Schizosaccharomyces pombe: one gene and its partners. The gene in region 3 interacts genetically with the main gene of each other region. Each region holds a gene or a part of one and is shown on either strand. Other genes may lie near its edges.

What was found.
Region 1: mutations in vph2 (region 3) and eme1 together harm fitness more than expected from each alone (negative genetic interaction), as found in Schizosaccharomyces pombe (2 studies listed by BioGRID).
Region 2: mutations in vph2 (region 3) and wdr7 together harm fitness more than expected from each alone (negative genetic interaction), as found in Schizosaccharomyces pombe (2 studies listed by BioGRID).
Region 4: mutations in vph2 (region 3) and get1 together harm fitness more than expected from each alone (negative genetic interaction), as found in Schizosaccharomyces pombe (2 studies listed by BioGRID).

Annotation. Positions count from the first base shown.
Region 1 is NC_003424.3:3,293,073-3,302,296, reverse strand, and holds eme1 (Holliday junction resolvase subunit Eme1), read left to right. Parts: upstream 1-2,383; 5' UTR 2,384-2,429; coding exon 2,430-2,516; exon of another isoform or gene 2,517-2,572; coding exon 2,573-2,664; exon of another isoform or gene 2,665-2,748; coding exon 2,749-4,777; 3' UTR 4,778-4,955; downstream 4,956-9,224. Other genes in the region: glycerophosphoryl diester phosphodiesterase Gde1, read right to left, coding at 4,956-8,346, 8,651-8,667. UniProt on the Schizosaccharomyces pombe protein: Interacts with mus81 to form a DNA structure-specific endonuclease with substrate preference for branched DNA structures with a 5'-end at the branch nick. Typical substrates include 3'-flap structures, D-loops, replication forks and nicked Holliday junctions.
Region 2 is NC_003423.3:2,266,540-2,276,317, reverse strand, and holds wdr7 (WDR7-like protein), read left to right. Parts: upstream 1-3,065; 5' UTR 3,066-3,123; intron 3,124-3,360; 5' UTR 3,361-3,541; coding exon 3,542-3,807; intron 3,808-3,887; coding exon 3,888-5,000; exon of another isoform or gene 5,001-5,043; coding exon 5,044-6,745; 3' UTR 6,746-6,750; downstream 6,751-9,778. Other genes in the region: SPOM_SPBC16H5.12C (uncharacterized protein), read right to left, coding at 1-1,537, 1,597-1,708, 2,017-2,179, 2,234-2,245; SPOM_SPBC16H5.14C (DHRS family dehydrogenase), read right to left, coding at 6,751-7,085, 7,140-7,270, 7,322-7,716; imidazoleglycerol-phosphate dehydratase His5, read left to right, coding at 9,002-9,652.
Region 3 is NC_003421.2:66,699-73,402, forward strand, and holds vph2 (V-ATPase assembly protein), read left to right. Parts: upstream 1-1,553; 5' UTR 1,554-1,832; coding exon 1,833-2,255; intron 2,256-2,318; coding exon 2,319-2,537; 3' UTR 2,538-2,781; downstream 2,782-6,704. Other genes in the region: SPOM_SPCC757.11C (transporter), read right to left, coding at 2,943-4,358. UniProt on the Schizosaccharomyces pombe protein: Required for vacuolar ATPase assembly.
Region 4 is NC_003423.3:4,314,889-4,322,028, reverse strand, and holds get1 (GET complex subunit Get1), read right to left. Parts: upstream 3,121-7,140; 5' UTR 3,083-3,120; coding exon 2,996-3,082; intron 2,948-2,995; coding exon 2,581-2,947; exon of another isoform or gene 2,488-2,580; coding exon 2,426-2,487; 3' UTR 1,910-2,425; downstream 1-1,909. Other genes in the region: SPOM_SPBC16C6.01C (lysine methyltransferase), read left to right, coding at 488-1,909; m-AAA protease Yta12, read right to left, coding at 3,420-5,741; fit1 (CoA pyrophosphatase (FIT) family lipid storage protein), read right to left, coding at 6,789-7,140.

The DNA of each region.
Region 1 (9,224 bases), on a different chromosome or scaffold from region 3:
AGGATTATTTTGTTTATTTTGTTTTTGTTTTATTTTATTTTCTTTTTCTTTTTCTTTTTGTTTTTCTCTTTCTCCTTCTCTTTCTTCTTTTCTTTTCATCGCTTCCTCTCATCTAAAACTTTGATCCGACTGATAGCTTGGAATCCATCGTATTGCATTACACCACACTATACAACGCTATATCCTTCGATGGATTATCTGGTCTTAGTCTTAGTCTTAGTCTTTATCCTAGTTATTGGTGCCTGCCCTAGCCCAGACAGAGATTTGAAGAATGGGGGTTAGGATCCTTGATGCCCCCAGTAGACAAAGAGCAGTATAGCAATGACAATGACAATAGCGATAACAATAAAATAGCGATAGTTTAGTAAAGAACTGTTAAATAGTAATAGTAATAGCAAATACAATTTCTATTTGAATCGCTGTCTTTGTCTACATTCGTTTTTTGCTCATGTTCCTTCATCTCCTGTGTTCATGCTTCCGTACGAAAAGACCTGCAACGCTTCCGGCCCATCGGACGCTGCATTTTACTTTTTTAGATGGAGCTCTGATCGTCCATCTCTCCCATTCCTCCCGGCTACTAAACCCGGAGTTAAGATAAAGGTGCGCCTGCTATCCGAAGAAAATAAACTCTGCGTAACCGAAGCAACAATGGTCGTGGTAGCAAAAGGAGTATAGGGTGAAAAGAGAAAAAGATAAAAGAGAGAAGAGAGGAGAGGCGAGAAAGGAAACAAGAATTATAATTAAAAAAAAAAAAAAAAGAAAAAAAGAGATTTTCTCTTAAGAATCAAAACATACTGAATGCAATTGTTTTGCCGAATACTACGATTTTTGACGTATTGCACTTTTTTTGGCTTATTGCTGGATCAACATGTATAAGAGTCTATTTAAAGGATTTCCGTTGTAAAAATACAACTTATCACACTCACACGTTGACACTAAGAGAAAAAAGCTATAGCGAACAATGATACACACACATATACATACGCTGTTGCTATTCACATACGCTGCCTTGATACACACTGTCTTGACTATAAGGAAAAAAGGTTTGGCTTGGTCACAAGTAAAATGTAGCGATGACTTTCGTACTCTACTAATGATTGTTTAGTGAAGAATGATAAAAGATAGTAGTGTGTATTGATTATACTTGTATAATGCAGTTGAATTTACTATGAATAATTTGGAAATTTCGCACAACTCGTTGGTCCTCTTAAAAAAGGAGAAATTTCAGTTTGCGAATATTGGTTTCTCTCTCTCTTTACTTTGCTTTGCTTTGATCTGCTCTACTATACTCTACACCCTTGCCTTTCTGCTTTCTTTGTTTGGTTGCAAAATTCACAGATCGCAATGAAAAAATGTTTTAAACTGCGAACTAATAAGTAGAATTGATTTTGCAATGAAAAGTAAAATTAAATTAAATAGAAAAAGAAAATTTTAAAAAGAGACAAAGAAGAGTAAGGAAAAAAAAGCCCCCCCCCCCCCCCCCCCGAAAAAAAAAGAAAAACAATGTATTCATGGTAAAAACAAAAAAAGTTTTTACTCATCATTCATTGTATCGTTGATCAATTAAAGAATACAAAAAAAAAGTAAGCATAAACCCATTTGGAAACATTGCATCAAAGGATTTTTCATTTTCATTTTCATTTTTATTTTGTTTTATTTTATTTTATTTTATTTTTTTGTTTACCATCATTGATGAAACAGACTAATGAAAAAGAAACTCTAGTACATTTTTATTTTTATTTTTATACTATTGAGCTTTAAATATTAGAGTATTTTATTCTATTGAATTTGAATTGAATTTATTTTAATTTTGGTTAAATTAATTGATTTTCTTTTCTTTGAAATTTTTATTTTATTCAATCTTTTTACACTTTCTAACGTACTACCAAAGTCCCTAAATACCGTATCGCCCTTCTACCTAAAATTCTTTCAAAATGACACACTAAACCACAGTATTTGCAAAAGAAATACTCACCCATCCCACTCATTGATTTCAATAATCTTCAATTCTCAAACACAAAACGACATCCTTTCAACTACTTCTAAAAGAATAAATATTTTCCTTTTTTTATACTATTCATCTTATCTAAACTCCTCCTGCATCCATTTCTCTTCTCCATTTTTTACCCATCTCTCACCTAACCTATATATACTTATATGTAAACAAACCTACTACTCTCTATACTTTCCATACCAAATATCCTCAAACATCCACGCAAACCTCCAATCTTTTTAATTATTCAAACTCTTTAATACCATTCCTATCTAAATTTTTTACTTCAAACTTTTTTTTTTTTTTCTCATTTCTTTTCGCTCTATTTCTGTCACCAACTCTCGTTCCCTGCCGGCTCCTTGTGTACACTTTGCCCTACCTGTCCTAACCACCAAACCCTCTATTGTTCGGAAAACAAACACTACACATGCATTGAATGACTCTGCAGTCTACAGATTCCGCTATTGTGATCGATTCTGAAGCTGATGTTGACATTTCAAGCTCACAAGCTTCTCCTTCCAAGGTTTGTCGCGTATTTCCCTTTCTTTCTGTTCGCTTTTTTTTTAACCCTCTTTTTAGGACAATATTGCTTTGTCAGAACACAATGTTATAACTGTTCTTGATACTCCTCAAAGATCTACTCAATGCGATAGTTTGCTAAAAAGTTTCAGGTAAGTTGACAAATATTGTTGCCAGCATTTCCTTCCTTTCCACACTTTTCTTCCACATCTCGCTAATCGTTCATTTGGGGTCAGTACTCCTTTAGTTTCCGGCTCCGAAGATGTTCTCCCTAGTCCCCGTGATGCCCTTAATATCACTAATAAAAAGTCGGTTACCGATAATCTTTTGCTCTCTTTAACTTCTTCAAACCAGTCAACAAACACGAATTTAAATCCTTCTTCACGCGTCGAAATCATTAATTTAAACTCTTCTCCCCCTAATTCCCTTTCCTCGCAACCAAAACACCAAGAATTTCATTTATTCCATACTCCCACCATTCCTAGGACTACACAATTGTCATCGAAAACCTCCTCTCCCATCGTTATTCCCGACGACAATGAACAAGTGGCTTCCCCTTTATCTAAAAAAGCTGCTTCTTTGACTTCTTCACCCTTAAAAGATTTCCAGTCCTCCCCGCCGCTCTCCACAGTCCTTCAAAAATCCCACTCCCTTCACGATATACTACTGGACACGAATGATGACGATCATTTCCCATTTACCCAGAGTCCGCTAACAAAAACAAAATCTTTCAACGATGCACTAACATCCTCATCCTCTATACTAAAGCCATGCATGCCATCCATCGCTAGTCCTACTTCTAATCGATTATCACATGCCCCTTCTACGCCTAATTTATTTCCTAACCAAGACAGCTCCAATACAATCGACCTCATCAATAACCGTTCCAAAACCTCCGTAGAAAATCAAGAAAGAACTTTCAATCTCACATCTGATGTGCACTTAGATAGCCCGACCTCTCCATCCAAGCATTCTTCAATTGAACCCAATACTAGTCAGGAAGATAGTTTTCAAGAACTTCCTTCTCTAAACAAACTTTCCATTCAAAGTAGAGCTTTTAAAAAAATGAGACTACCCAAAATTTCAAGGACTACCGATACGCCTCCTGCCTCTACTTCAAATTCAAATAAAAAAAATTTGGATAAATTAAAAAAAATGAGAAAATTATGCTCTAGGAGCTTGGAACCGTACGAGCTAGACTCTAATACACAACGTAAGAGGAAACGTTACGAAGATTCTTTGAAAAAATCAAAAACTTTAGATAAGGTTGACAGCTTGAATAGAAAGATGGCGAAAGAATTGGACAGAAAGAATTCAAAGGAACTTCAAAAAATTAACAAAGTTAAGAGAACCAAAGAAGAATGCCTATCTGAGATAATTCTTTTATCGCCGGATGATTGGGCTTCATCTTGGTATTCAACTGTTCGCTCTCAATTAGATTCATACAACTGCCAATTCGTTGTCAATTCAAATCAACCAAAAGACTCAATTATGTGGAAAAGGAAGGTAAACAATGTGTTTAATTCTTCTACCAACCGGTTTGAACTTAGCATAGAGCATGAACAAATCGAACCTTTTGCCCTACTACGGTTGAAATGCCGGGATTTTATAAAATACATCGAAGAGGACCAAGCTGATACTTTTTTTCATGAAATGTCTGAAAAGTTTAAAGGCTGTAAGCTAATACTGTTGCTGGAAGGCATCCCAAACTATTTTAAATCTCTGAAAGCAGAATTAAATCGTCAATATGCAGCAGCTGTTAATAGCGGTACCAGACCTTTGTTATTTGGTTCTTTATCAAAATATCAAAACTTTACTAAAGAAAAGTTAGAGAGTGAAATCGTCCGCTTCAGTTTCGAACATAGTATTCTTATAAACACTTCAAATGACGAAAAAGAAACCGCTCAATGGATAGTTTCCTTTACCGGCGACATAGCTTTATCTCGTTACAAGCACTTTTCTAAATTTTCAGCTAGAGCCTCTACTACCGAAATAGGACATGTCAAATCCGCCGATAGAATTGAAAACTCTCTAAATTTTATGTTGCGGCAAATACTACGAGTTACACCTAACATTGCTAACGCCATATGCGATCAATTTGACAGTATACCATCTTTAATTCATCATCTAAAAACTCACGGCGAGGAATCATTAACCAACGTTGTCATCCAATCTAGTATTAGTGAACGAAATTTAGGTCCGGTTTTATCGCGCCGTATATATAACACTTTCTTATGTAAAGAAGCATCCAGTGATGCACCATAGTGATCGGTCATTATTTGTATTTCATTAATTGTTATCATGATATTTTTTCCTTTTTTTTTCTATCTATGAAATTTTCTTATGATATACTTTCTTCTAACTAAAAATTAACTAATATCGGTTTCTAACTAAAGCACCTCATCTTCTATATCGTCGGTAGTATTCGTTCAAACTTTCTAGATCAATCAGATTCCAAACTTTCATCGTACTGGTTCAAGGCACGTCTAATGGCTAACACATTGTCTACAATGACAGCATCAACTCCAAAACGTACTTGGCGTCGGACATTGTCAACATCATTATTGAGAACACCATAGGTGTAGCAAGATAAACCCAATTGTTTAACTGCCTTGATCAGCCTCGGGCACATAATGAGCGGTTCACAAGCACTAACGATACCCAGAAAACTCCACTGTGAGGCAAACTTTAAAGCTTGTCTAAGCGATGCTGCACGAACGTCTGTTCGGTAAGCGGTACCTCCTTCAGTCAAAAAAAGAACAGGATTAGTCGATTTCAAAGAAAGTAAGATGCATATATCAGGATTAAAACTAGAGAAAATATACTTTCTTTTACCACCATACTTTTTGATTATCGATAGAATGGTATCCACGTAAAAGTTATAATCATAAGCTATAGGGAGCAATTTCTCTTCCTCAGCTTCACTTAGCATGGGGTACTTAAATTCCACATTAAGTCCTACGGATTGTGGAACTTCCTTCAAAACATCCTTTAAAGTTGTGAACGGTGCACAAATCGTATGACCAAGGGCATTACCCTTATATACTTTAGGCTTCAAACGTGCGTTTTCTTCAGCAAATTCACCGAAATTAACCTGTGATCCTGAAGGTGTAAATGAGGAACTGTAGGCCCTAGGACGTCTCTTCTGCTGAATGTCACTTGCATCATCTTTAATTTCTTCTGAAGGAGAGTGGGAAGCCCCTAAGAATTGCTCCAAAGTCAGCGAATGCACTTGTGCATCCGTTCCGGTTTCGTTTACGATAAAATCATGGTATACCACTGGGACCATGTCTTTAGTCATTTGCACATCTAATTCAACGTAAGAAGCACCAAGATCTGCCGCTTTTATAAACGATTGTAAAGTGTTCTCGCCAAGTTGAAGACTCAAACGATCAGGCTGATTCTTACCAAGTCCACGATGTCCGATAACCGCAACACCATTCGATTTCCCTGATTCTGATGTAGTTGTGGCAGATTTGTGTAAAGAACGCTCAGCGTCTTCCAATGCAGTGCGACTTACGTTGGAAACTGCTTCCAGCGATAAGGCAGGGGTACTTATGCCATCATTTGACGAAAATCTATCATCAACTGTCACCTTAGAAATAAGAACATCCGCATTAACATGAGCTATTGGTTTAAGAGTTTTACTCGAAAGTAATGGTAAGGGTGCCAAAGGTTTCAACGACTGCATATGATTCCCCAAATCAGATACCAGAGAAGTCAAGCAACATACAGTTCTCCCTAATATTTTATGGGATCGATTTGCTAACAAATCAATTGTAATAGTTGCTTCTTCTGTATTTCTTGTAACGAAAACCAATTCATACGGTGGAGAAGACCCGTTTACAGGTTGCGGACTATTTTCTTGTGCGGCATCATAATGCAAATGAATAGAGTCGTCGGCAATTTCATCAGGCTCCGCCAAATTCTCTAAGCAAACTTCACCGGCATTATCAAAATGGGAGCGAGGGATATCAATAATCACTGAGTTGTTTTGGCTAGAAGATGGTGTCATAGAGCCATTAGAAGCAGTAGTGTCGTTTTTACTCAACGAGTCAGTAGATTGAGACATGAAATCTACTGAAGATGGTCTACTTGCGGCAAAAGATGGAGACCGCCCTGAAACATACACAGCATCATCACCTTGAAGACTAACGCGGATTCTACCGGCCAAATCACTGATTCGAATAATGACCACTGAACGAGATAATTGTAAATCCATGGCACGTTTTCTGCTCCTCATTTCGGAACTTGAGGCTTTGATATAAAGTGTATGTAAATTAACAGGCTTATCACTCAAGGCGACTTGAGTTCTAAGTTTATCTGCTAGGTGTAAATACCCCCGAACCACAGCTTGTTCCATAGCAGTCCAACCTGAAGAATCAACTTCGTCAACCGAAGCGCCCGAGGCAACTAAAATTGAAACAATTTCGGAAAGTCCAGTAGCTGATGCAAGCATCAAAGGAGTCCATGAATTCAAAAAATCCCTTGCGCTAGGGTTTGCTCCAAGTTTGAGTAACATTTTAACACATTCCGGCCTGTTATAACGAACAGCGGTGTGTAAAGCTGTATTGCTACTAGCATCAACTTCGTTAGGATTGAATCCTGCAAGGATGAGTTCTTCTACGATCAAATCGTAATCGCCTACACAGCAAGTCAAGACCAAAGGAGGAACGGGTCCCGGCTTGGTAGAGGTTGTTTCCTTATCCTGAGCAGAAAGCAAAGCATGAAGAGCTTCAACATGATTTCCCTTAATAGCCAAAGTCAAGGGAGTGTCGTGCATTACATCGCGCCAACATGGAAGCATCCAATTCAATGGCTCAGAGTCAGGGATTGATGAAACAATTTCACAAAACTTACTGCACAATCCTGCCCAACCGAGTTTCGCAACAGAGTGCATCACACTCTGTCCCTTGCTATTTCGTTCTACAAGAAGAATCCTTGAAAGTAAACGATTAGAATGGTATGAATCCACATAAACCACTGAACAAATTTGTTTCAACACCTCCAAAAAATATAAAACTCCTTCGTCAGGACCACAGAGGTTGTTAATTGCACGACGTAATGCAGAAGCCAGGCACTCAGAACGTAAACCAATTCTTCCTATAACTTCACGCATACAAGCTTTGGCTCCCGCAATGATGGAGGCAGCCAGTATATCTACGAGTACACTATCAGGTGCATTTATACAAGCGGTCACGACCTCTGCGGCAATATCCAGTTGAATAAAAGCTAAAAGATCCTTCTTCAAGGGATGGTGAATTGACAATTTTTCCAACTTGTCTTTCACTTCACTATCGTTTTGAGAAGAATTCAAAGCCTTCAGGGCAATCATGGACTCATAGATCTTGGACGAATTCGCAAAATCAAGCTTACACACCTTCTGCTCATAAAATGTAACCAAGCGCTCCGTACCAAGGTGCTTATCCATATTGGCAGCTAGCTTTTCAAAGGCCAGCTTATTCCATTCACAAAAGGATGATAATTGTTGAAGACGAAAGTCTAGCTCTTTCAGTTGCTTCGCCTTTTCTTCAGCTTCGTAAGATGAAGACAGTGCCTGTGTAATTTCAGTATTGGGAGATTTCTCCGTAGACAAACGAGTGACATAATTATCAAGCTGGACAATGCGAGTATTGAACAAGTTAACAACCTTCTGAAGATCGTTTTCCAACATTTCGTCGATCGATCCCTTTGGCCATGATCCGTCACTATTACGCCTCAATAATTTCTTCCGTTCATCCTCGGGAAGCGCAGCAACCAGTTGAATCTTTCGCTTTATTCCATTATAATCAACATACTGTTCTGCAAACTCCGGGATCAACGCCAATTGAAGACTGTCGGTTAGCAGACAATGACTAAAGCAAACCAACAATTATAAACTAAGAAAAAGAAAAGTTTAAACAATGGTTAGTCATACGGTTGCAAATGATGAGAATGAAGGGAAAGGAGTTTACTGGCAGATCATCTTAATTAATCCCGTACTCCTATTCAACACAAATGCGTATCCTCAAACATAACCGTTACATTCAAGACATTAAAAGCCTTAACCATAATAAACTTTTTGCAAATATTGCATTCTTTAACGGCTATTTGAAGGTCTAAACAACATTCTAAAATGTGTAAAATATGTCGACCTACCTTTCACCAAACTTCATAATAAAGAGGACTGGGATTCAGGAATTTGAGAGAGATCGAAATTAATGGAGTAATCCAATCGTTCATAAACTACTATTTGGCTAAGGCCAAGTTCAAATACGTGGTAGAATACCACTACTTTGGTCGTCGTACGCTTCGTTAACGATAATAACGATTAGCAGCAAATATTGTAGAAAGCCAATTTTGGCTAGCATCGACACAGCTTTGACAAAATTTGCTACAATGGTTTGATGTGATGATTCGAAATATTTTAATTCGAACTTAAAAAATTAACGCTTACAACTTGACACCATTTTTTTACGTCAATTATAACTTCTAATGCTTAGAAGCGTCAACTTGAACGTTACCCTGATGAAAACTAATCAATGAATAATGTAAAAGCTCAATAGTTATTTATCGAGAATCTGTGTCCTTTTTTTACTAAAAAGAACTATTCTGAAGAAGCAGTTAAAACTAACATACTTATGTTTGAGGCTATGCAGAGCACCAGCCATTGAGTGCCTTTGTGTTTGTTTACTAGCTGTTGAATAAAGGGCACAGATGGCTGGGGTTTATT
Region 2 (9,778 bases), on a different chromosome or scaffold from region 3:
ACGGGCTTCCTCTTCAGAATTGCAAGGGGTAATATGAAATCCACAACGTTCATAACGCTGCTCACCACTATATTGACGGAATTCACGATCGTTGCCCTTCTGCATATCAGTTCTTCTACCTTCTTGTGCTTGAGATCTTGTAACATTTGCAGCATTCTCTTGTTCAAGTATGGTAACCTCTGTAGTCGTCTCACCTAGCTCGAGATTTCCAGTACCCTTAGTCACCTCTTCAACGTCAACTTCCTCTTTCCCTCCAATTGCTGGTTGTTCTTCTTCATTAGGACTAGGCTTCTCTGCTACGCCAGAAATGGGTTCTTCCTCGGCAGCAGGTGGTCCCGACTTCTCTTCGATTACTTCATGAGTCTCAGCCGACTCTTCTGTAGTATTCGCTCTTGACATTCCTAGCTCATCAGTATGTTCCTGATCGTACCCTTCAATCTGTTCTTCTTCGGTTGGTGTAGCCGTAGCTTCTCTGTTCTTGGTAAACTGTGCTTGAGATTCCACCAACCTATTGTTAGCGTAATAATAGGTACCGGTATTTTCCGAAGTTGAGCGTGGAATGTGAGATGCATAATTTTCGTTACGACGTGAAGCCATGCGACGATAGCCTAAATTAAAGCCATGAGATTTGCTTTCCACTTGAACATGCCCATTTTCGACGACAAAAACAGTCCATCCAAAGGAAGCATCTAATAAATTGAAGTTCCATAGGTTTTTAAAAGCAGTGCCGGGAAGCATGTTATTCATAGCATATGAGTTAGTTGCATCGGGCATGCGAGAGACTAGGCGAACAACATTGTTTATTAGATGATGTTGTTCAGGGGTAACCATCTTCTCAACCTCAGCCTTAACAGTGTCATACACTTCCATAAACTGTGCACGGGCAGCCGAAAGTTTTTGAAGATAATGTTCAGGACTATGATTTACGCAAAACTCATTGTAGCTAGCTCCATAACGAAAATGAAGACCGGCGGATAAAGTCAGGTCAGCCTGGCAAGCAGTAGCTAATTGAGAAAGAACACCTTCTCTTCCAATGGGATGATGCGTAATAAAAATACGTGCCTCCTCTCTGTCAAGCAGGCTCTTAGCGGTTTCTATTAGTTCACCCATTTGAAGGATTGTAGTCCACATAGTACCCTGGCCACCAGCAATAGTTCCTTTACCGTCTCCATTGTCAAAAAGCTTAAAAGGGACATAAGGACCTCCAAGACCAAGTAAACGGATTTTCATATCTCCAATTTGCAATAGGTAGGAATGAAGTTCGTCCACTATGTTAAGGTTTGGAATAGAATATTCTCCAGAACGAAATTTTTCCAAAACGTGCACATCTTCGCAAGCTCCCCATACTACATATACAGGGACTGAGAATTTCTTCTCTTGTGACAAAAATTGAGGTAATTCTGAAAGCAGGCAATCGGGGTGAGAAGCAATACTATTCTTCAAATCCCCAATTGGATTCGAGGGATAATAATCAAAGTTTTTGGACCTAGGAAGCTTTTTTATGAGAGGCGAGAATTGGACAATGTGACGAAGAGTACTGAAAAAAGGTTAGAACAAAGAAAAATGAAACATAAAAATTTTTGACACAAAACATACCGTTCAGATATGCTAGGAAGTGAGGATCGCTCAAAAAATCCAAAGTCACCAGTGTGGATGACACAGGAGGCATTGGTTTCCTCAACCAGGCTATTTATTAAACTCAGTTCACCTGAAGGGATAGTTATTAGTAAAAACGCGTATTAAAGAGTAGTAATTTTAAGGATAGGAATAGCTAAGGAGAATAAAGTGTATGGACAAAATTCTTTTACGAACCAACGAGGATCTTTAATGACAAAATGAGTAAATTGAGCAATTGCGCTTCAACTCCTGCTAAGCCATTATGGATAAGTTCATGCAAAAGCATACAAATTCGCATCTTCTTATCTTAAAAAGTAAAACGATCGTCGATAATTCCCCCGATGGGGTGCTTTTGAATTCTCGCTGGCAGCTCTAAATCCATAAACAACGCATACTTACCTCGAACATCGGCAATACATAAGATCCTGGATTTATTATCCAATGTGAGTACTTGAGCTGAAACATCCAACGTGGAATTATTCTCGGAATCTGAGTACGTTTTAGAGGATTTATTTTCCAGCGTCCCAGTTGAAGGTTCCGCTTGAATATCACTTTTAGCCGTCTTTTATGTAATTAGTTTAAAATTTTTGCAAAGATTCATTAGATCTATACTTACATCCACGCTCATTATATCGTAAAAATCTAATGAAACGGATAAAACAGTAAATGGTGTTGAGTAAGGGTTTTGTGATGATGCCTCAGTTTCGGCACTGTACTACTTCCTACTACAATAAGAGAATGTTGCTTCGTAATGTTATAACTTAGATCCACCACAAACGAAGTAAAGTAAATTAAATATATAAATACACAAAAAGCAGCAGTTAATAGATAGTTTTTGAAATTTTTAACGTGACAATTGTATTTCTGTAGTATAAAACTCCACAAAAAATAAAAATAAAAATAAAATTTAGTATATATTAATATATATATTTATATATAAATATGAAAAAAAAAGGTGCTTCAATGAAGGATTACAAAATTCTTGAGAAAGCTCGGTAATCGGGACGGCAGAGTTTATTAGGGTATATGTTAAATGTTGCAGCTTTGGAATGGAATTGTTAACTTATTTTACACATACTATGACTTAAGTTTGCCTCGTGTACAGTAGATGATGCTACAGTCTGAAGTATATTTCAATTTCGTTATATCGTTTTTCCAGGTTGAGATTTGAATACTAGTTGCAGTGCGAAATTTACAACATTTGAAGTATGTAAATGTTCTGTTTATTTGGCAAATTGAATAAAATAAGACTGTTAGCAATTTTTTCGGTTTTTTTCTATGTACAACAATACTCTTTTGTGTTATTAAATAATGCTCGTTTACTATAACTTAAACTCGTTTGTACGCTGTATTCTTACTACTAAGTATTGTCAAGATTTGGAAGCAAGGGCATCGCCCCATCAACTAGGTCATATAGTATTCGCGTGCTTCAAGTAGCACAGCAGCACATTCCCACCACCGAGTGGAATTCGAAGTTGTGTGCAGTGGTATAAATTTTGGAGAAGTGTAAGTTGTATATAATTCAAGAATGAAGAGATTTATGTAATGATTGATACAATCGGAGCTGTCGATGCATACATTCTATTAAATGACGGATGGACGAATTGTTTACATGGCTATTTGTTAGACATTCTTGTCTATGGCTGTTGCAAGTTCTTCATTTTTCTTAGATTCTCTTCCTCAAATACTTGTTGCATCTTGTTTATTCGTTTGCGTTCCGAATTTGCTAATTTTACATTCAAGAATATCGCGGCAACTGTTAGTCTGCCTAAATATTGTTTTAATTTCATTTTCTGCGTTTTCAATTACTTTTATATTTAAAAAGGTTTAACAATTACTGAATTGAGTGGTTATTTGGGAAGCCGTGTTCGAACAGCGTTCAAAATTGATGTCAGCCTTAGACCGTTGTTGATTGCGAATCAAAATGGATTGGGTTGCATTGTCGAAAAGCTGTAAAACTCATTTGTTAGATGAAGGCCTTGACGTGTCTTCAATACATTGTTTTGATCAGTATTTGATAGTAGGCCAATGTTCCGGCCAAGTCATGGTATTTGACGTTTCTACAGACAATCATTTCACTTTGATCCAAACATTTATAGCACACAAACATTCCGTTTCTTCTATAGTTTGCCTTCCATTTGAAGCTGATGGAATTGTAGACCTATCAATCATTACACTCGACGAATCTGGGTATGTTGAGCAACTCTCATTAGCCGAGCAGCAATTATCAAATTCATTATTTAACTTATTTCTTGCTAACATTTTCTCAGATTACTTTGTCAATGGCTACTGAAAACATGTGACCGACGAGCTACTTTGCAATTGTGTGACGGGCTATGTTTAAAGCTATTTAGATTAAATAACAACTTTCTTGCTGTTACCGGAACCTTTTTGAAAATATATCTCATTAGAATCTCCAACTTTCAGATAGTTGCGACTTGGACTGGTCATGAGGACTGGCCTATTTTGTTTCCGTTCAAAGACGAAGCTTTATTAATCCCTGTCGCCTATTCAGATGGATCTGTATCTCTTTGGTCAGTTGATTGGTCAGCTCTTACTTTTAAAAGAAATTCAGTTACAAAAGCAGATGTTAAACCAACTTTTGGTAAGGTTATTGATGTTGTACCAGCAGATTGCATTTCTTCCAATTATGCGCTATATGTATACTCGGATGCGGTAGTACTATTGGAATCGCATGAGAAATTTATAGCTTCATATTCACTTGCAGAGATAACATCTGTATTTGTTTTGGCTGATGGCACGGCTTGTATTTTTACTCTTTCGTCTTCAACTTTACTCAAACTTCATCAATCTCCTGAACCTCATTTCGAATTAATTTCTAAGTATTCTGGAGATTTTCCATGGAAATCGTGCACCATTTTAAAAAGTAAACCCGTTAGTTTGTGTGTTTATCCCGAAAAAATAACTTTCAATTGGTTAACAGAAGGAACCGTAGACTCATGCAATCTTTGTAAGTTGAGCAATACAGCTGCTGTTTCCTACGCTTATACGGACTCTCTTAATTTATTCCTTGGAACAACCTCTGGTTTAGTGATGTTTTCTTTGTTTGACTGGTACCTTCACAATGATCCAGCTCCTCTTTACTCTTTTACAAGGGTTTCTGGAATTGTAACATATATGAAAATATTTGAAACTGAACATTCACGCTCAATTTTAGTTGTTGCTACCAAAACTGGAAAGGCTTACTTTTATCAACAACTTCAGGGTGAAAGATGGAGATTTCTCTGCGAGCGTGCTTTGCAATCTTCTTCAATTACTAAAATTATTCATGCAAAGAAATCATTATCTTCTGGTTCATCAGGCTTATTTATTTTTATGAGTTTAGATGGCTCATTGTGTGCCTTGGATGAATCTTATAATCTGTAAGTTATCAGTGTGTTATCAGTTATTAATCGACTTTTATAGTCTAAGCTACTTGCCATCTGATGGTGCTCAAGTTGAAACTTTGTACTCATTTCCCGATTTAGATCAAATCTATGTTGCTTATGACAATTTTCAACTATTAAATTGGGACGTTGTGGATCAAAAATGTTCTGAAGGAAATTATTCAGATATTATTGACTCTTCGTTCATATCTATTGGTACTTTTGATAAATCTAACCTCCCTACTTTGTATCATGGTTCTTGTGCTTTACTCACCGATAATTTGGTTACTGTTTTTTTAGACGCTCATGATTTAGTACTGAACCTCAATTTTTCTAATGAAAATTACATAGAAAAAACGTATATTGACGAGTTCCTTGACTTTATCCAACCTCCTTTCCTAAACTCTGATATAGAGATGGAGCATCAGTTGTTAGGTACTGTTTTTGATCAATCCAGTTTGCATCTTGGTGTGGGTAAGCCAGATGGAAATGCCATACTTCGATTTGACACCGAAATGAAGTCAATAATAAATACTGCACCAAATTGTTCCGCTTTGCTGTTATATCTATATTTTTCTCTAATGGTTCCTTTATGTAAATATGATGGGCTGAGCGATACCAAATTGACTGAAGGAATATTATTAAAGTTAAAAGACCTGAAAACGGTTGATTACAGTATTTCCGTTCTTTCATACGTCTGGAATAATTCAGGCAAGGTTATGCAGGGTATAATTAAATCAATGTTGTCGAGAACATTGGAACTTATATCTCCAGAGGAACTTCAGAGGCTTATATATTATTATTTTGAGTTTTTTACGACTACAGGTGGAGAGTACTATCTGAAAAAGGAGGTGCAACATTCACTGTACATCTTGTCATTAATTGTCAGTTTACGGCCTTCAGCATTTGATGTTTCACAATTGAAATTTTTGTCTTCCTATTTATTACAAAAATCCGAAAGTATGGACTATGACTTAACAGCAATTCGCCTGTTGAGTAATGGTTTTTCCGTGTTTTCAAAACATATTGATCCTGCAAAGTTTATATACAACCTGGTTTTGTCATCCTTAGAGAATACTAAGGATTTGGATGATAAAAATAGCATTCTCTATAGATCAATAGTGGATGTCTCAGTTTCGAATGCTGTTTTACTGCTTACATGTTTATGCGATGAAGTTTATGAGCAAATGAAATCAAATTTACGTTCCGTTATACTAAAAGTTGTGTCTTTGGCAATTGAAAACACACAATCCGAATTTTCTTTATTTAATCAATTGATCACGGAAAAATTACTTCCAATCCTTTACTCTAGCCGCTCGGTTGAAGAAGTTCACGACGTTACTAACGCAATTGCAACCCAATTTCCATTTGCATGTTTTGATAGTAAGGTGGAAAAATATTCCTACATTGACGATGGTGATCTTGTGGTTTATGAAATAGCTAAAAGAAGGAAAGTCGTCAGCAAGGAAAACGCCGAATGTGATATTCAGGTATTGTCCGCCAGTCCTTCTGGTGACTATTTTGTTGGAGTCAGTGCTACGCAAAAGGAATGCATTATTTGGAAATACAGCCAAGATTTCGTAAAATTCTTGAACTTATCAACACCTTCATTAACGATCCGAAAACGTATATTATTACAAACTAACAAAACGAATGAGGTTGAAATTCCTGAAGTCCTATGGATTAGCCAGTCATCAGCAGAAGTCCATATTGGGAGCACCTTTGCTATCATTGACTTGTAGGTGGATTATGAATAAATTTTATCCATGCCACTAAATAGACGAGCCAATTTTTGTATTGGAAGTGGGAAAAACCTCAGTAGAGGCATAAAACGTGCGTAAAATGGATAGTAAAAACGACCCGATTTGTTTGTATATAAGTTTTGAATAATAATTTTTGCTAAGTTTTGAGGTTCTAGTAGAGGGGCTAATACTCTGTTTGGGGTATCTTTTTCGAACATTGTAGATTTAATTTGCCCTAAAACATAAAGAGAAAACTTGAAGTTGGGATGCTGTGATAAAACCTCTTCCTCTAATGTTTCATGTAGCGAAACTAGTGCCGCTTTTGAAGATGAATAGGCACCTGTTAATCACGTTAGAAAGGAAAAGCAAATTTTATAAAATCAACCCCACTTACCGACTCCCATCGCACTAAAATAAGCCAAGGAGGATGCTATGTTGACCACATGAGGATTTGGATCTTGTAAAAGGAGAGGAAATAATGCAGATGTAATTGCCAGCTGTCCGATCACATTTGTTTCAAAGCATCTAAATTAAGCAGTTAGAAAATAAGGCTTACTACGCTTAACCTGTACTTACTTTTGTAATTCTTGTCTTGATATAGACAGCAAATGATTTTTTGGAGCAATAGCTGCAGCATTGATCAGAGCAAAAGGGGTCCTGTTCATCTTTTTCAAAGAATGGACACATCCTTCTACGTCCTTATCTTTGGTAATATTACATTTCAAAGCACTAAATTTAGAATTGTACTGTAGAAAAGATGCAGGCTCAGTACTGTCCAAAGAGGCGACGCTGAAGCCTCTATCCAACGCCTCTTGAATAATAGCATGACCAAGAATCCCACTTCCTCCTGTTATCACAATCAGTCCTTTAGCACATGAATAGGATTGTTTCCTGAAAAGTAGAGGAAACCAAGAAAGGGTTAAGGCAGCACAAACAAGCGAAATCACCAATAATAATATATGATTCAACATCAGGGAATGACTTCTGTGAAAAATATGATAAGTTGCTGAATGGAAACTTGGCAGAAAGTCGTTAACATTAGCAGCGAACTCTTTTGTGTTTCGAATAAGTTAACGTCCAAGTTCTGATCGTCTAAAGACCCTAATATCGTATTTGACGAAGTCAAGGAGAGAACCTTAGTAGATGCTGCCAAACAAAAGCTATTTCCTAGTGTAAGCAAAAATCACGCGTAGTAGAATAATTCATTAAATCGTTGAACACTGCTTTTATAAACTTATATAATAAAGTTTTGATCAGTATCGCCAATGTTGTATTGAACTTGTTAACTAAATTATTCAATCCGTACTACGAAAAATGGAATGCCCATCCTGATCTTAACTTGATTAGTCTTATAGAGTCAAAGATAAGTGATGGTTTTTTTTTTAAAATATTACGCCTATCATAAAAAGAAGCATTAAAAAATGCGATTAAGAATTGCGTCTTCAATTTCCTTATATATTGAAACATAGTACACACTATACCTTCCCTTCATCTTCGACTAGTTGTTTTTAAAATATTTGAAAGTTTGAGCGTGCTCAGTTTTCTATGTTGCATATAGATCAAAGGAACATATGTATGTTAGTAAATATCATTGCATTCAACTATGCTATTAATTAATGTTTATTAAATGATCCCAACGCATGTTGATGTTGTATTTTGCATTTGGTAACCCGCAGTTGGAATTTTCAGGCATCTACGTACAAAGTAAATAAAGTGCAAAAGGGTCAGCTCATTAGTTTTACGGGTCCTCAATTCGATGTTGCAGATTTTACAAGTTTTTAAAATGTATTTCATTATTACTTTTTATATGCCTAATAAAAAAGCCATAGTTTAATCTATAGATAACTTTTTTTCCAGTGCACTAACGGACGTTACATTCCCATACAAAACTGCGTAGTTAAAGCTAAGGAAAAGTTAATATCATGTTAATTAAATACGCTATTTACAATAAGACATTGAACTCATTTATATCGTTGAATATGAATAACCAATTTCAGCGAATTTTTAACAAACATCGTTCACCTCGTTTAAGGATATCTTGTGTATGGGGTGTTGACTTGCTTTATCGAATAATTACCGTACCTGTAATTGGCTTGCTGGATATAGCGGTAGTCTAATATCTAGCAAAAATCTTTTGGGTGAAAAGGCTTGCAATTTCACGACACCGAACTATTTGTCATTTTTTAATAAGGAAGTTTTCCATAAATTCCTGTAATTCTCGGTTGATCTAATTGAAAAGAGTAGTTTTGCATCACGATGAGGAGGGCTTTTGTAGAAAGAAATACGAACGAAACGAAAATCAGCGTTGCCATCGCTTTGGACAAAGCTCCCTTACCTGAAGAGTCGAATTTTATTGATGAACTTATAACTTCCAAGCATGCAAACCAAAAGGGAGAACAAGTAATCCAAGTAGACACGGGAATTGGATTCTTGGATCACATGTATCATGCACTGGCTAAACATGCAGGCTGGAGCTTACGACTTTACTCAAGAGGTGATTTAATCATCGATGATCATCACACTGCAGAAGATACTGCTATTGCACTTGGTATTGCATTCAAGCAGGCTATGGGTAACTTTGCCGGCGTTAAAAGATTTGGACATGCTTATTGTCCACTTGACGAAGCTCTTTCTAGAAGCGTAGTTGACTTGTCGGGACGGCCCTATGCTGTTATCGATTTGGGATTAAAGCGTGAAAAGGTTGGGGAATTGTCCTGTGAAATGATCCCTCACTTACTATATTCCTTTTCGGTAGCAGCTGGAATTACTTTGCATGTTACCTGCTTATATGGTAGTAATGACCATCATCGTGCTGAAAGCGCTTTTAAATCTCTGGCTGTTGCCATGCGCGCGGCTACTAGTCTTACTGGAAGTTCTGAAGTCCCAAGCACGAAGGGAGTGTTGTAAAGATGAATTGGATTATGTCAGGAAAAGAACGACAATTTTGCATCCAAATTGTCTAAATTTTAGAGTTGCTTGAAAACAATAGAACCTTACTTGCTTTATAATTACGTTAATTAGAAGCGTTATCTC
Region 3 (6,704 bases):
ATAGTATTGGTTAATTGAATAGGACACATATGCGTTTCTAGGAGGAGAGTAGAACCTTTTCTAAATTACTTCCTGAAAACTGATTAGTTCAAACCTGCAGGGATTTAGCGGAGATTAAAAAAAAAAAGGAAAACGGATTAGGCTCCTTCTAAGCTCTTATTGCAGTTTCTTATAAATTGAAATTGCAATCAATAGCTGTGATTACTTCGACAAAAATGAAGTAAACGACCAAGGAGAACGGAGTAGTGGTAAACGGGGTGTAGCAGTGACAAAGAGAAAATTTTCTGCAAGTAAGTCTTTTGGTGGGGAAATAACGAAGTTTGAAGAACGTATAGTAAAGTCGCACAATTTACTGATAGGAAGTGGTAGCGTAGCTTTACGCCTCAGTCGTTATATCTTTGGAAGTGAAAATGATGAGATTAATAAATGAGAAGAGCATTACAAGAATGGGTTTTTTAAATAATCGTAAATTTCCTAGCTAAAGCTAACGAATGCTGCCAAGTGAAATATCATTCTTTTAGTCAATATAGCAGGTATTAACGTAGTTGTTTTCGTTGGCCTTTGCTTCGGTATATAGGATAGCGTGGTTCAAGCGACTTTGTAAGATCAGATGAAAGATAAAGGGCAAAAACCTAAATAGCGTCCATGCATCAGTGGAACTTTCTTTCTTCAGATTACGTTATATGGTATAGTGAGCTTTGAAAATCGTTGAAAAAATTCGAATTTAATGGTGCAGAGGCAAAGACGATATGGACGTTCGGAAAAATGAAAACTATACTGGAGGAAGTTATCTTTATTTGATTCTGTCTTCGTAATTAAGCTTCCTTCAGCTTCGAACTTTTCATTTCCTAATTCGAATACCTATTTGTTCACCCGTACCTCTTTAGGTTTATATTTGTTCTTGCAAACTGTTCTGCGGCGATATGAATTTTGCTACCCCAAAGTTTACGTAAGCCAAGTTTGTCGTAAATAAATTCGCAAAAAAAAGTACTTTGGATGGTGCAACATGGAAGAATTGAACGCCGTTGAAACGCTGGTATTTTTGAACATGAAGTATCTCAGTATTCAACCCAAAGTCATAAAAATTCTTGAACCTTTAGCTTTCCAAGCGCTGAATGAGCATACTGGGACACATTTTGAAACCATAGACGCAAGTAATAATTGCGTAAGTTATATAAAACTCATAGAGCCAACAAAGCTAGTAGCATTTACTTCTTAATATTATATTGAAATTCCAATAAATAATCTTTGAATATCGTTTGTATGAAATACCCGAGAGCAATTGCGGCGCTAAATTAAACTGAATGTTCAGTTACCAAGATTTATGTCACTTCATAGAAAGATATAATATCACAGTAGCGTGTACCATTCTTCTATACCTCACTGAACGAGGAAGTCTACAATTCTGCTTGGCCTAGCACAGTGTTAGCGAGGGTGAAGAATAAAATTATGATGCTAATTACCAAAACGGTGATTTCAAAAAAAGTTGAGGAACTTTCATATTTTCATTTTTTGCCTCTTATAGGACGCTATGTATTACGTTGCGTAACTTTGACTTTTGCAAATACTTGGATGTACCACTGTCTCCATGTTTGTTTGTTGGTCAATATAAAACGTAGTATTAGACATTAAAATATTGGTTTAATTATTTCATTTAGAAAACTCAATAGAAATTTAGCAAATATCGTCAACCAACCTAGATTGATCCTGTTTCACGCAATTCGGACTATATGAATCGTTTTTGATTGCTTTCTAGACTTCATAGCATTATTACTTACCCTTCTACTTTTTTAATACCTTCGAAATTGTCAAATTGACTCATTATTGCAAAAATGCTGTACAGGCTCTCCGAAAAACAGCAGACAGACTTACGGTGTAATAAATTAACTGTCGATGGATTTGAGCTGGTAAAAATGTTAAAGGAATTACGATTACATAACAGGAATATCAATTTTTTGGAATTTCTTCGAGGTGTACAGATTGTGCCGAGCGACAGTGTCTTCTTGGGCGAAATTGATGAAAACAGCCATACTCAAGACAATACAACTACTTCTATCTTAAAGGAGAAAGAGCTATATGATGGTATTCCTCTGCTTCCATCAATGGCAGGCGTATCCATGGACCCTGAGAGAGAAAAAAAATCAGAGTTACGACTAATGAAAAACCAAATCAGCGCTATAATCAATATACTCTTCACAGTAGTAGGAACGGTGACCGCTGTTTGGTACTGCACTTCATCTTTATCTATTGAAAAGGTATGAATTAAAAACTTTCGTTTTGTTCCTGGGAGACCTTTGTATTGACTTAATATTATTTAGAAAATTGCGCTATGTGCGTTTTCAGCAATCTTGGTTCTAGTAGCAGATACGTTTCTTTATGTCCGCTATCTATCTGCACAACCCGTACGAACTTCAAAGAATCATACTCGACAAATAATATATACATGGACAACAAATGACCCTGTTCTACAGTCAAATGAGCAGCTAGCTATAGAACTGGGAGCCATTCCATCTTTGAAGGAAAAAAAGAACCAATAATTATATTCTTAATTTTTAGATGTTTTATTAACGAAAGTACCTTTGATGTTTTCCTGTAGATGATTTTTATAGGTTGTTTGTCTAATTGATCATAATGGCATACCTCTCTATGTGTTAATTGAAGGGCAGGCACCTATGGGCACACTATAGATAAAAAATAAAAAGTATTTAAGATAAAAAATTCGAACTCATTTGGCTTTTAACGTATATTTCATCAATTAATTTCATTATAATTAAAGATTTAGCAACATTATTTCAATTTAATTAGCCATTTGGTATTAGATTTATTTGTAAGGAACACAACTTACAAATTTATAAATAAACAACAAATCAACCCCCCCTTGTAAAAAAATTAAAAAAAAAAAAAAAAATAGAGAGCAACCTAACCATTGAGTTACCAGTGAATTATGCAAGGCGCAACTTGACCTTAAGTTTCTTCCATATAATCAATAGTGCAAGCACAGACATAACGTTTAATATTAAGCATACCGCAAAAAAAACAACAGGTGAGAACGAGCGAAATGCACCGCCAAAGATAGCACCAACTGTGTCGGATAAGGAAATTGATATTTGCACAGCGACGTTACCTATCAGGTGGTACTTAGGATGTAAAACCTTTGTCAATAAAGAGACCGAAGGGGAATTAGCAATAGAAGATCCAAAAAAAACAAGGGTGTAAATAATAAAGTAAGGTTGTACGAATTCCTTGCCTGTATAGTGAATAGTTATATGAATAACCATGCATACGATGTTTAAACAACAACCCAACAATATGATATCTCTGTCAGTCAAGTAACGCGTCAAATAGGAAAATATTAAAAGCAAGGGTACGTTGATAATTCCAGCCAAAGAAAGGAAGTTACCTGCTTGGAAGGATGAATAATTATAAAGCATAGAAGTGTAAATTGGAACAGATGCTTGGTATGCATTTAATAGAAAGTAAGCAGAGAAGCCAGAGAAAGCGACAACGAAAATAACAAGACACCCCACAAATCCTAGTTTTGAATTGGTATCCTGTTTGACATCATTAATGACATGCTTCTCTTCGACTACTTCTTCCTTTACGTCCGTTTGCGGGCTCAAAACCTCCCGGAAACAAGCAAAGCCAAACAAAAACAAGCCTACCCAAATGAAAGCCATTAGCCAGTTACCCGAAGTATATTCATTCCAGATATCGCTTTGAGACTTCATTGAAGACTTGGCCATTAATCCTCCGATGAATGGACCAGCTGTCAAACCAAGCGTTGCCATGACTGAGTTGACCACACCCATCGACGTTCTATATTTGATGCTGATCAAGGCTTTATCTGTGAAATAGCGCTTGTGGTATAAAAACATGGTACACGCAACACCCGTAAAAATACGACTCACAAGAATCAAGGCCACACTTTTGGCTTTATCTGCGAGTGCATACATGATATGACCAATAATGCAGCTTATACACGACATTGTATATGGTCTTCTATAAATCGTATATCCCTTGGCAGCTTTCGGAGTCGAGAATCTCAACATGGGATACAGCAACACAAGGGCAGTGATTGTGGGCAATCCGATAATTACACCGGACAAACCATTTCCTCCCCCCAGATGTTGGACAAATCTCTCGGACGTAGGAACGACAATGGTGAATGAAATGCAAAGAATTGTGTTATTTAACAGCATCAAAGCCGCACTGATGAACGGTGGTTTATGCGTAGCAGCCGGTGAGGCAGAAGGGTCATTGGAAACTAATCTTACAGATTGCTTGTATCCCGACTTTTCCTTTTCATCAAGAAAGGATGAGACCGAGAGGTCTTTTTCTAAATTACTTTGTTGCTCCATAATATAGACTCAATGGATCCATTCAAAAACCTGCTCTACTACGAAAACTGGCCTGTGGAATAAGGTATAGAAGGAACGAGAAAACAAAGAGAAATTCTTTGTTGTTTTCAAATATTTTGGTGTGAGTAAAGGAAGAAAGTGGAATTTCAATAGAATAGCATGACTCGTTTATTTTATATGAGATCAATTTTTTTAAGTTGATGATATCCGATAATTTTCATCATCGTATAGAATGGATAAGAATTCCCAAAATAGGATATCCACGGTGCTTCCCTAATTAAGCTTTCCGTAGTGCGGAGTATTTTACCATATATCAGTCATTAGTTGTACGGCTACTGTACTAGCTCACATGGTCCAGTGGTTAAGACTCATCGTTGTGGCCGATGCGACCCAGGTTCGATTCCTGGTGTGGGCAGTTTATTTATTTGTTCTTTTTTAAATTATTAATTACTTGTATAAATAGGAAATAATCAGCGAGAGCAAATAGTACAATTCAGTTATGGCAAGTACAAAAACGCAAAGATAAATGCAAACGTAGAAACCGGTAGACATGATGGTAGAAGGAGAATAGAATTATGATAGGATATGATGATAAGTATCGAATAGAAATGTCTTGCAAAGTGTGTTTGGCAGATAAGCCCATTTGAGCGGTCGAATATTTTATGCTTTTTTTCAGGGCCAGCCGGCAAGATCACCTGTCTATTTGTCCGTTGGCAGTAAGCGTTTGCTCAAGATATGGATGCGCTTCAGTACTTGAAGATTTACAGACTGTTCGGGACGGAAAGACTCATGACTGTTCGGGTCGATCATTTTGGCTACTATCCGTCTGTCTATGATAACCAGTGTATGCATGGAAAAAATGTATCGTAAATCGTTTAATGAGAATAGGGCATAAAGCGTTATTCAACGGATGAAGAAGGAAACTTGACAATGGCGATGTTGAAAGACAAGCTATGTGAGATAGCAGATTGGTTCCTTGCAGTACACCAGCCCCTACAAATACTATGATTCTTTTAACTTAAACATCCTGCTCAGTTCCTTCTAATCAATACTTGGTTACACTAGTTTTTTGGCATAATGAGTTCTCAAACATGCTTTACAATCTCTCTTACATTGTACTATGTATGATGAAAATCCAAGTTTTGCATATTTCGCCTAGTGCACACTGCCCACAACCTTTTCTCTTGCACACGTAGGTGGCTATGAAAGAGGATCGTCTGTGCGCCTCATAAATATCGTTATTCAGCATATCAAGTTTTTGCAGCAATGTTTCATACGACGCTCAAACATCCTACCTAGATATTGTTTTTTTGAATTTATAGGCCAAAATAGAATAGAATGACAATTTGCTTTGTACTCACCAAGTCCGCGCTTGTGATTACTTTGTAATCATATATTTATTTATTTATTATTCTTGTTCTATTGTTTATTTACTAGTGACCTCATCTTCCTTTCCTGAACATCGCAATGTTTCCTCATCTCTTCTTCCCTTTCCCATGTCCTCGTTCCTAAAGTTAAAATCTTTGTTTATCGACCTATTATTAATAATCGGTAAACAAGTTTAACGCTTGTTCTTACACCTTTTTATGTGTATTTACAGCCGCCAAACGTGGCTTATTCAAAGCCCCACTTGAGAACCAATGCGAGCGCATCTGGAAAAAGGGCTATCGGTAACAAACAGTCTCATCTTACGTCAGCCTAAATCCGCCGAAGCAGCGATCGGCCTCGTGGTTGTTACCTAGCTGCCATGGCGATATTTGTTTACATTCGTGCTCGCAGTCATATAAATAAAAGATCCTCGCTACACTACTGAACCTCTACACATCTAACATTTTGCATATTTTTCTAATATCCTCCCTTTAGTAGGCTATATCTAAAGGGTTTGATACCCGTTCTTCATAACTTTTCTTTTTCTATCTTTTTTGTTTCGTTTTTTTGGTTTCTTTTGCGTGCCAAATTTTTGGTCTTTTTGATTTTGCATTTCATTTCTATTTTTCTTGGTTTCCCCATTTTTTGGTTTTGTATGAGTGTGCTCAATCAACTTGTCAAATAATTTCCTCATCGCATACCATATTGATTAACTTTTCCTTTTCTTTTTTTAATCGTTTTTTTTTTTGCATTTACATTCCCACTTGCCAAACCGAGAATATATCGCCCGGCGTTTGATTTTGTTTCCCATATTTTCCTCTTCGACACGAGCCTTTCCTTGTTGCCTTCTTTTGTTTTTTGTTTTTTTTGTTTGTTGAGCCGTCATTTCTACAAAACATTCCCTTTTGCATTTTTCATCGCATATATAGCCTAAAAGTTATCTCTCAAAGTGCCATCTATTTTTTGGTTTCTTTTTTT
Region 4 (7,140 bases), on a different chromosome or scaffold from region 3:
TACTGTTTAATTATGAATGTTTTATAAATGAAATAATTTATTTGTATGAAAAAGCATTATTGCGAAAAGTCTGTACAACTCTTGGTAAAATTATCACCATGAAGAAGCTTTTTATATTTAAAGCGTTTGTTTATTACCCCTTTTCAATCGTATTCAATCATATTCTTATAGTAGTTTTTATATTTACGATCCATCCTGCATTGCCCTTCTGTATCGGACAGGTTGAAAACGCGTAGCGGATTAAAAATCAAGTTTGAACAGACTAATGTGCTTTATTAAACATAATTTGAGAAATTAATTATCTTCTGTTCTAAGATACGTTCAAGTTTTACTCAAAAAATCAATGTGTACATCAGAAGGTTGGAGTATTTACCTACGCTTAAAATCAAATTTGCTTTGAAAAGATATTAACTTTCAAATGTTCAAAATTGCCGGAAAGCGCATAAAAAATATTATTAACTACTTATTAAAACATGTTAAATAAAGCATGAACAATTCCAAGCAATTTTTGAAGTACCAACCCTTACTTGAATGGCTAGCAAAACACGAAGCTTACATTTCACCCAAACTGTATATCGCTTCAAGTGGGGTCGCAGGAGATGGTATATTTTCTACCTTTGATATAGATGAACTTGAAGTTTTAGCAAAGATTCCTAGAAGGATCATTCTGAGTCCTCGCAACTCAAGATTTGGAGATTCGTTGTATACACATTTTAATGAATCTAATCGGTCTGATGATATTAACTTTGACAATAGAGATCAGGTTGGGCTGGTCATGCTCGTTATAACTGTAATATTGGAAAATATAACAGATAGTCCGTGGAACGCTTATTTAAACACCTTGGACGAAACTTGTATGCCTGATTCCCCATTATTATGGAAAGATAAAACGTGTCTTGAGGGAACCTCAATGCTTGATGTAATAAATACAAATTTAAGAGTATACAAAAATCAATATGATCAATTGGTCCGCCCTTACTTTTATAAACATGCTGATCTCAAACAGCTTTGTCCAAAATGGAATCAGTATTTAGAGACTTGTGTTCTCGTCCAAAGCAGGTGTTTTTACGTTAACAGCTACTACGGTTTATCTTTAATACCCTTTTTCGATATTTTTAATCACAAGTCTGGTCCAGCTATTGCTTCGCTACATTGTCAGGAGTCAAATGATCATAAAGGCGATATCAAAATAGAATTTATTTCTTTTCAGTATATACGAAAGATGTCCGAAATATTCAACTCCTTCGGAAACTTTGCCGCTGATGAATTGTTCACGCAGTATGGATTTATTGATACCGCTTGCAAAGTTTGGCGCGTCGACATGACAATGATTGCTTATGAAACTAACAGAAATTTTTATATGGAGTGGATTCATAAAAAAAGAATAATCAACACCCAGGAGTTGCTGGTCACCCCAACTACATACGCAAATGACAAGTCTGAGACTTTACGTTCAGTAATGATAAGACAACCTATGGATCTTTATATAATAACAGATCATGGTCCCAGTTACGGGCTTTACTTATATTTATTTTTTTGCATTTACAAAATCAAATTCCAAAAGTGCGATATGAATATAGTAATGCTTACAAAGTATTTTAATGAAATCTGGGCTGTGTTTATAGCACATAAGGAGGGAGAAAAAGAAAAGGTTGTTGCTCAACTCTCTGGTTTTTCTTTTTATTGTAAGGCTATAGAATTTCTACAGATGCTGTGTCAAAAGCGCATTAGTCGTTTCAAAAATGGTGGGTTGACTGCTGAAGCTTATAAGACTCTATTGTGCGATCCGACTCTTAAACGAGAGAATAGGTCTCGTTTAGTCTTACAAATTTTTTATCATGAACTTAATTTACTCGAAAAATCAATGCAAGAAACAATTTATCTTTGTACTGAAAATTTTGAAGATTAAAAAAACAACATACAACGGTTGGAAATGTTGCATAAAAGGAAAAGGTAAGATCGAAGTTCAGCTTAAATTTTAATCATAATTTTGTGCCCTTCTTAATTAACATTGTAGTAACTTTATGATGTTTTCCAAAACCCTGCATCGTTCCCTTTCTAGATGTCCTGTGTAATAAATAACCTATTTGCCATTTCAAACTTTCGGTATAAACAGCATCAGAAATATGAAAGCGTCAAATTAAGCAAATGAATTAGTAGGCATAGAAATAAGAAATCCGATGACAATTTAGATGAAAACCAGTGTAGAGCACATAAAGTGTACAATTTGTGAAGGAATAACATAATATTAATCGTGCATGGTAAACTATGCTTTCCATGGCATTCTTTCTTATGAGAAAAGGAAGTAGAAAACGCATTTATAAAATGACTTTACTGAAAATACATATGGCATCTTTTTCCCTTTAGTTAATTAAACTAAATGATAAAATATTAAAATTAGTCACCGTCTTTGATGATTTGGAGATCAAAATATCCCGGAAATAGTTTTTTGAACCGCAAAATTCCAAACTGTTAAGCTAACCGATCCTACATGCCATGTTAGTATTTCAGCTGCCATTGTGATAAATGAAAATAAAAATAAAAAAAAGATTTTCAGAATTTTCATTAAAAACAACATACCGTAGATTGATCGTGGAAGAGATAGCACCCATAGAGCCCAAGAAGGAAGCAAGAATGCAGGGAGGAAAAAGACAGGTGTTTTGGACTCTTTGAATTGAATATAAAACCGGAATCCACGGGTTAAAATCCAAAGAAAAAGGCTTAAAACCCGCTTGAAAGTATCTTGGAAAATTTTAACATTGGCTGATTGTTTTTCCCACTCTTGACTGAGTTGTTCATACTTTCTATTCAGACGGGCCCATTTAGCAAACTGATCTTGACTGCTAGTAGCGTTTAGCTCTTTCTTAACAGTAAGCAGCTGCTCTAAAATTTCTTTGTTCTTCTTTAAATCTTTATTATTAGAAACACTAACGTAAATTCGATAAGCCTTTCACATTATTAGTTTTCTTTACAACAAGTATATATGTTAAATTACCCCATCAATAGTCCTTTTTTTTGCAAATTTATCGAAGAAATGAATAAATAAGCTTAATAAAATTGTTGAAATAATCAGATCCATCATAAAATATGGACTTGTAAGAAAGTACAGTGGTTAGTGTCAAACGTGTAACTGTTGAGTATCACGCTCCCTATGACATGCTGGTCTAAAGGTCGAAACTAAACACAAGTTTGTTTGTTACGATATTAGCTATTTTGTGTTAGAAAATAATAATCTATTAACCTTTTAAAGTTCAGAAGAATTGATGTTAAGTATATTTATCTAGCTTCTGTAATATTAAATAGAAAAAATAGATAAAATAGCTATATGATATTCAATTGACAAATACTTTGATCATGAGATCCATGAAAGTAACTATTTTCATTCATAACGCTTTATTTAAATTCAGTAAATTGACAAATTAGGCAGAAGGTTGTTGAGGAGATGGGGGGATTGGTGGATTTCGAGGATCGTGATCATTTTTATACTCAGACTGACGCATAAGTTCAGAAATATTTAAATGTTTGTATGCATATGGCCTTGGTCCAAGAATCGTCTCAACTTCGTTATAAGTGATGACTTCTTTCTGTAATAGACGTTGAGCAATATTTTCTAAGCCTTGCTTATGTTCTAGCAAAAGTTTCTTAGTTCTTTCGTATGCATGCTTTACAAGCTTTCGAATTTCTTCATCAATCATTTGAGCTGTAGCCTCAGAAAATGGTTTTTGAACAGTTTCCCGAGTGTCGATGGGATAAGCTATAGTACCAACAGTCGGAGACATACCATATTGGGTCACATACGCTTGAGCCATGCGCGTTACTTTTTGAAAATCATCGGAAGCTCCCGAAGTAATCTTTTCTGGTCCAAAAAATATTTCTTCAGAAACACGCCCAGCCAAAGCCATTCCCATTTGATCTAAAATCTGCCCTCGACTCATCAGATACTGATCTTTGGGTAAATAACTAGCATAGCCAAGGGCTTGAGCTCTAGGAATGATTGAGACCTTCAATAGTGGATCGACGTACTCCATAAACCAACCAGCTACCGCATGTCCAGCTTCATGATGAGCAACGGTGTTTTTTTCTTCAGGACTTAGTACCCTACTCTTCTTTTCCAAACCTGCCGTGACTCTTTCAATAGCTTGCTCAAAATGTACCATTTGGACTTCATTACTATTTGATCGTGCTGCAATTAACGCTCCTTCATTACATACATTCATTATATCAGCTCCTGTAAAACCAGAAGTTAGGACGGCAAGACGCTTGGCAATTAAGTCGATGTTATCGGCTGCCTTAATATGCTTAAGGTGGACCTTAAATATTTGTTCACGACCGCCAATATCAGGACGATCAATCGTAATTTGACGATCGAATCGACCAGGACGTAGAAGTGCCGGGTCCAATACGTCTGGTCGATTAGTACCAGCGAATACGACGATATGTTCGCTAGACGTAAAACCGTCCATTTCAACTAATAGCTGATTAAGAGTGCTTTCGCGTTCATCATTGGAACCAAATTGTCCTCCACGTCCTCTTGCTTTACCAATTGCATCAATTTCATCTATGAAAATAATACAAGGAGCGTTCTTGCGAGCAGTAGCAAAAAGATCTCTTACGCGGGAAGGTCCAACACCAACAAACATTTCAAGAAACTCAGAACCTGACACACTTAAAAAAGGGACGTTAGCTTCACCAGCGGTGGCTTTAGCAAGAAGAGTTTTACCGGTACCAGGAGGACCAGAAAGAATGGCACCACGAGGAATTTTAGCCCCCAACCTTTCATAAAACTTGGGATTTTTTAAAAATTTGACGAATTCCATAATCTCTTCTTTAGCCTCGTCAACGCCAGCGACATCAGCAAATTTTATTTTGATATCAGTTTCATGATTAAACATCTTCGCTCGGCTCTTACCAATTCCAAAAATGCCACCTTGACCACCTCCTGCGGCACCCGAAGCCCGTCGCGATAAATAAATGACACTTCCAATGATCAGTAAGGTGGGAGCAAAAGACAATAAAGTAGCAAGAACAGAGACTTCGTCATGATAAGCGACAGGGACAAATTCAGAAGGTGGAATACCCAGTTGACGTTGTGCATCCTCTAGTTTTCGATCGAAAGAGTCGATGGAACCAATTGAAAAATAGTACTGCCCTGAACCTGAAGCTACACCGCCTCTCAAAATAACTCTAACCATATTGCGGTTAACAACAACTAGCCGTTCAACTAAACCCTTGTCTAAAAACTGTTGTCGAAAATCTTGCCAAGTAATTTCTTGCATATTTGCATTAGGCGAGAGAACATTGTAAAGGATATAGGCAACTAAAATTCCACCTAAAATAGTGTTGCCATTTAAGGCTATTTCAAAAACTTTTTTCGGATCATTGCCATTCAATCCCTTCTTTTTTGAATCATCATTTTTCTGGCCATTTTTCCTACCATTAGCATCAGAATTGGATCCTGAAGACCCATTTTGCGATCTTTTTGAGGTTACGCTAAATTGTTTAGATGAAATGAGAGGGATTTTATGTTTTTCCGGTATTCCTTTATTTATTTTAAGGGACTGAAAAGATCTCTGAGAAAGTGAGAGAAGAGAAAATTGTGAAACAGCTGTGGAACGTGTAGAAAAAGTATAAGCCCTTGCCAAACGCAAAGAAGAAAAATTATCCTTCTTTACGAATTTAGAAACCAGGTAATCTCCTGTTTTCCTAGTAGGTGCCCTAAACGTCAAAAAGGGATTTCGCATAAGGAATATTATATGGAAATAAGTCGCAGGGTACAATAACTTGAATTGAGCGTGTAAGGGCAAGTATAATATATAAAACCCTCAATATCGAAAGAGATAAACGTAAATGATTGTTTTAAGAAAAATATCCTTCGTATATGACGAGTAAAGGTGGATTCTAGAATTAAAAAATTCAAGAAAGCAGTAATTAATCGTTCAATTCAGTAATTGAGACCAAAACGAATAGAGACGAAAAGTTATAAGGTTGTATTAAAATAAAAATTTATTATTACCTCCGGACATGGATTTGGGCAACCTCCAAAAAGCGTTATGAAATTGAAGAAATTCCAATGTTTCACGTCAGCAAAAATGGTAATTAAAAGGAATAAGAACACAGTTGTCACTTTTTTTTCAGCTCAATAAACCCGTTACTAATCCTGTCAACAAAAAATAGCCTAAAGGAAGGATAATATAGATGCCTTGGACTTGTGTGTTGTGGGTAGTGACAACCTTCCGAAGCATTAGTCATTTATTATGGGCACCGACCGTAATGAAATCAACCAACTTCTTAGCATTGTCTCTATTAATTACTATAGATTTACTAAACGTATTACAAGTATATTGTTGACAAATTAAAATACATTATAATTTGCTGAATGGATAATATTAGCGAGTTGATTTACATTACTAACTTAGATACCATAATAAAAAACATTTATGCATATTTGTATCAAAAAAAAAAAAGGAATAAATAATAGTCACTATAATATGCAAGCTTGATAAAGAAGAAACTTTACGGCTATCAAATATATATGGAAGAACGCATTTTCACTCAAAACAATTGACGAGTATTTTTCCCAAGTAAAATACTCTCTAAAATATACTTAGTTTTGGTAAATAATGAAAAGATTTTTTTTATCATGATGGCACTATCGTAATAATCGACAGAGAGATAAAAGGGTCATAAACAAATAAGTTTAGAGAAGGAAGGATATGCTATGTCACAAGTGTTGCACTATATAAAACAATCATTTAGAAGCATAGTTTAAGGACAAATGGTGGTAAAGGCTAGTAATCGGAGGATCCTAAAAGATCAGCGACCGCTGGCATTCTTGAAGAGAACACGTAAACAATAGACCATTCTAAAATACCAGAGAAAAACCCGGTACATTTTTCAAAAGTAGTATGGTAAAAGGATGCAGTAACAAATAACATCCACCACCAAAGTCCAAGAAGACCAAAAAGTACTTTAGTAGATGTAGCTTTTATTCCATTATTCAAAATAAATGAAAAGTTTTCAGACAACATAAACAAGCTCGAGTGAGTTAACAAGAAAACATGGCCCGAGAGATCATGACCACCAGACCAAGATCCGTTTAATCCCTTGCAAGTGGAGGCGGTAAGTGGAATGAACACAGAT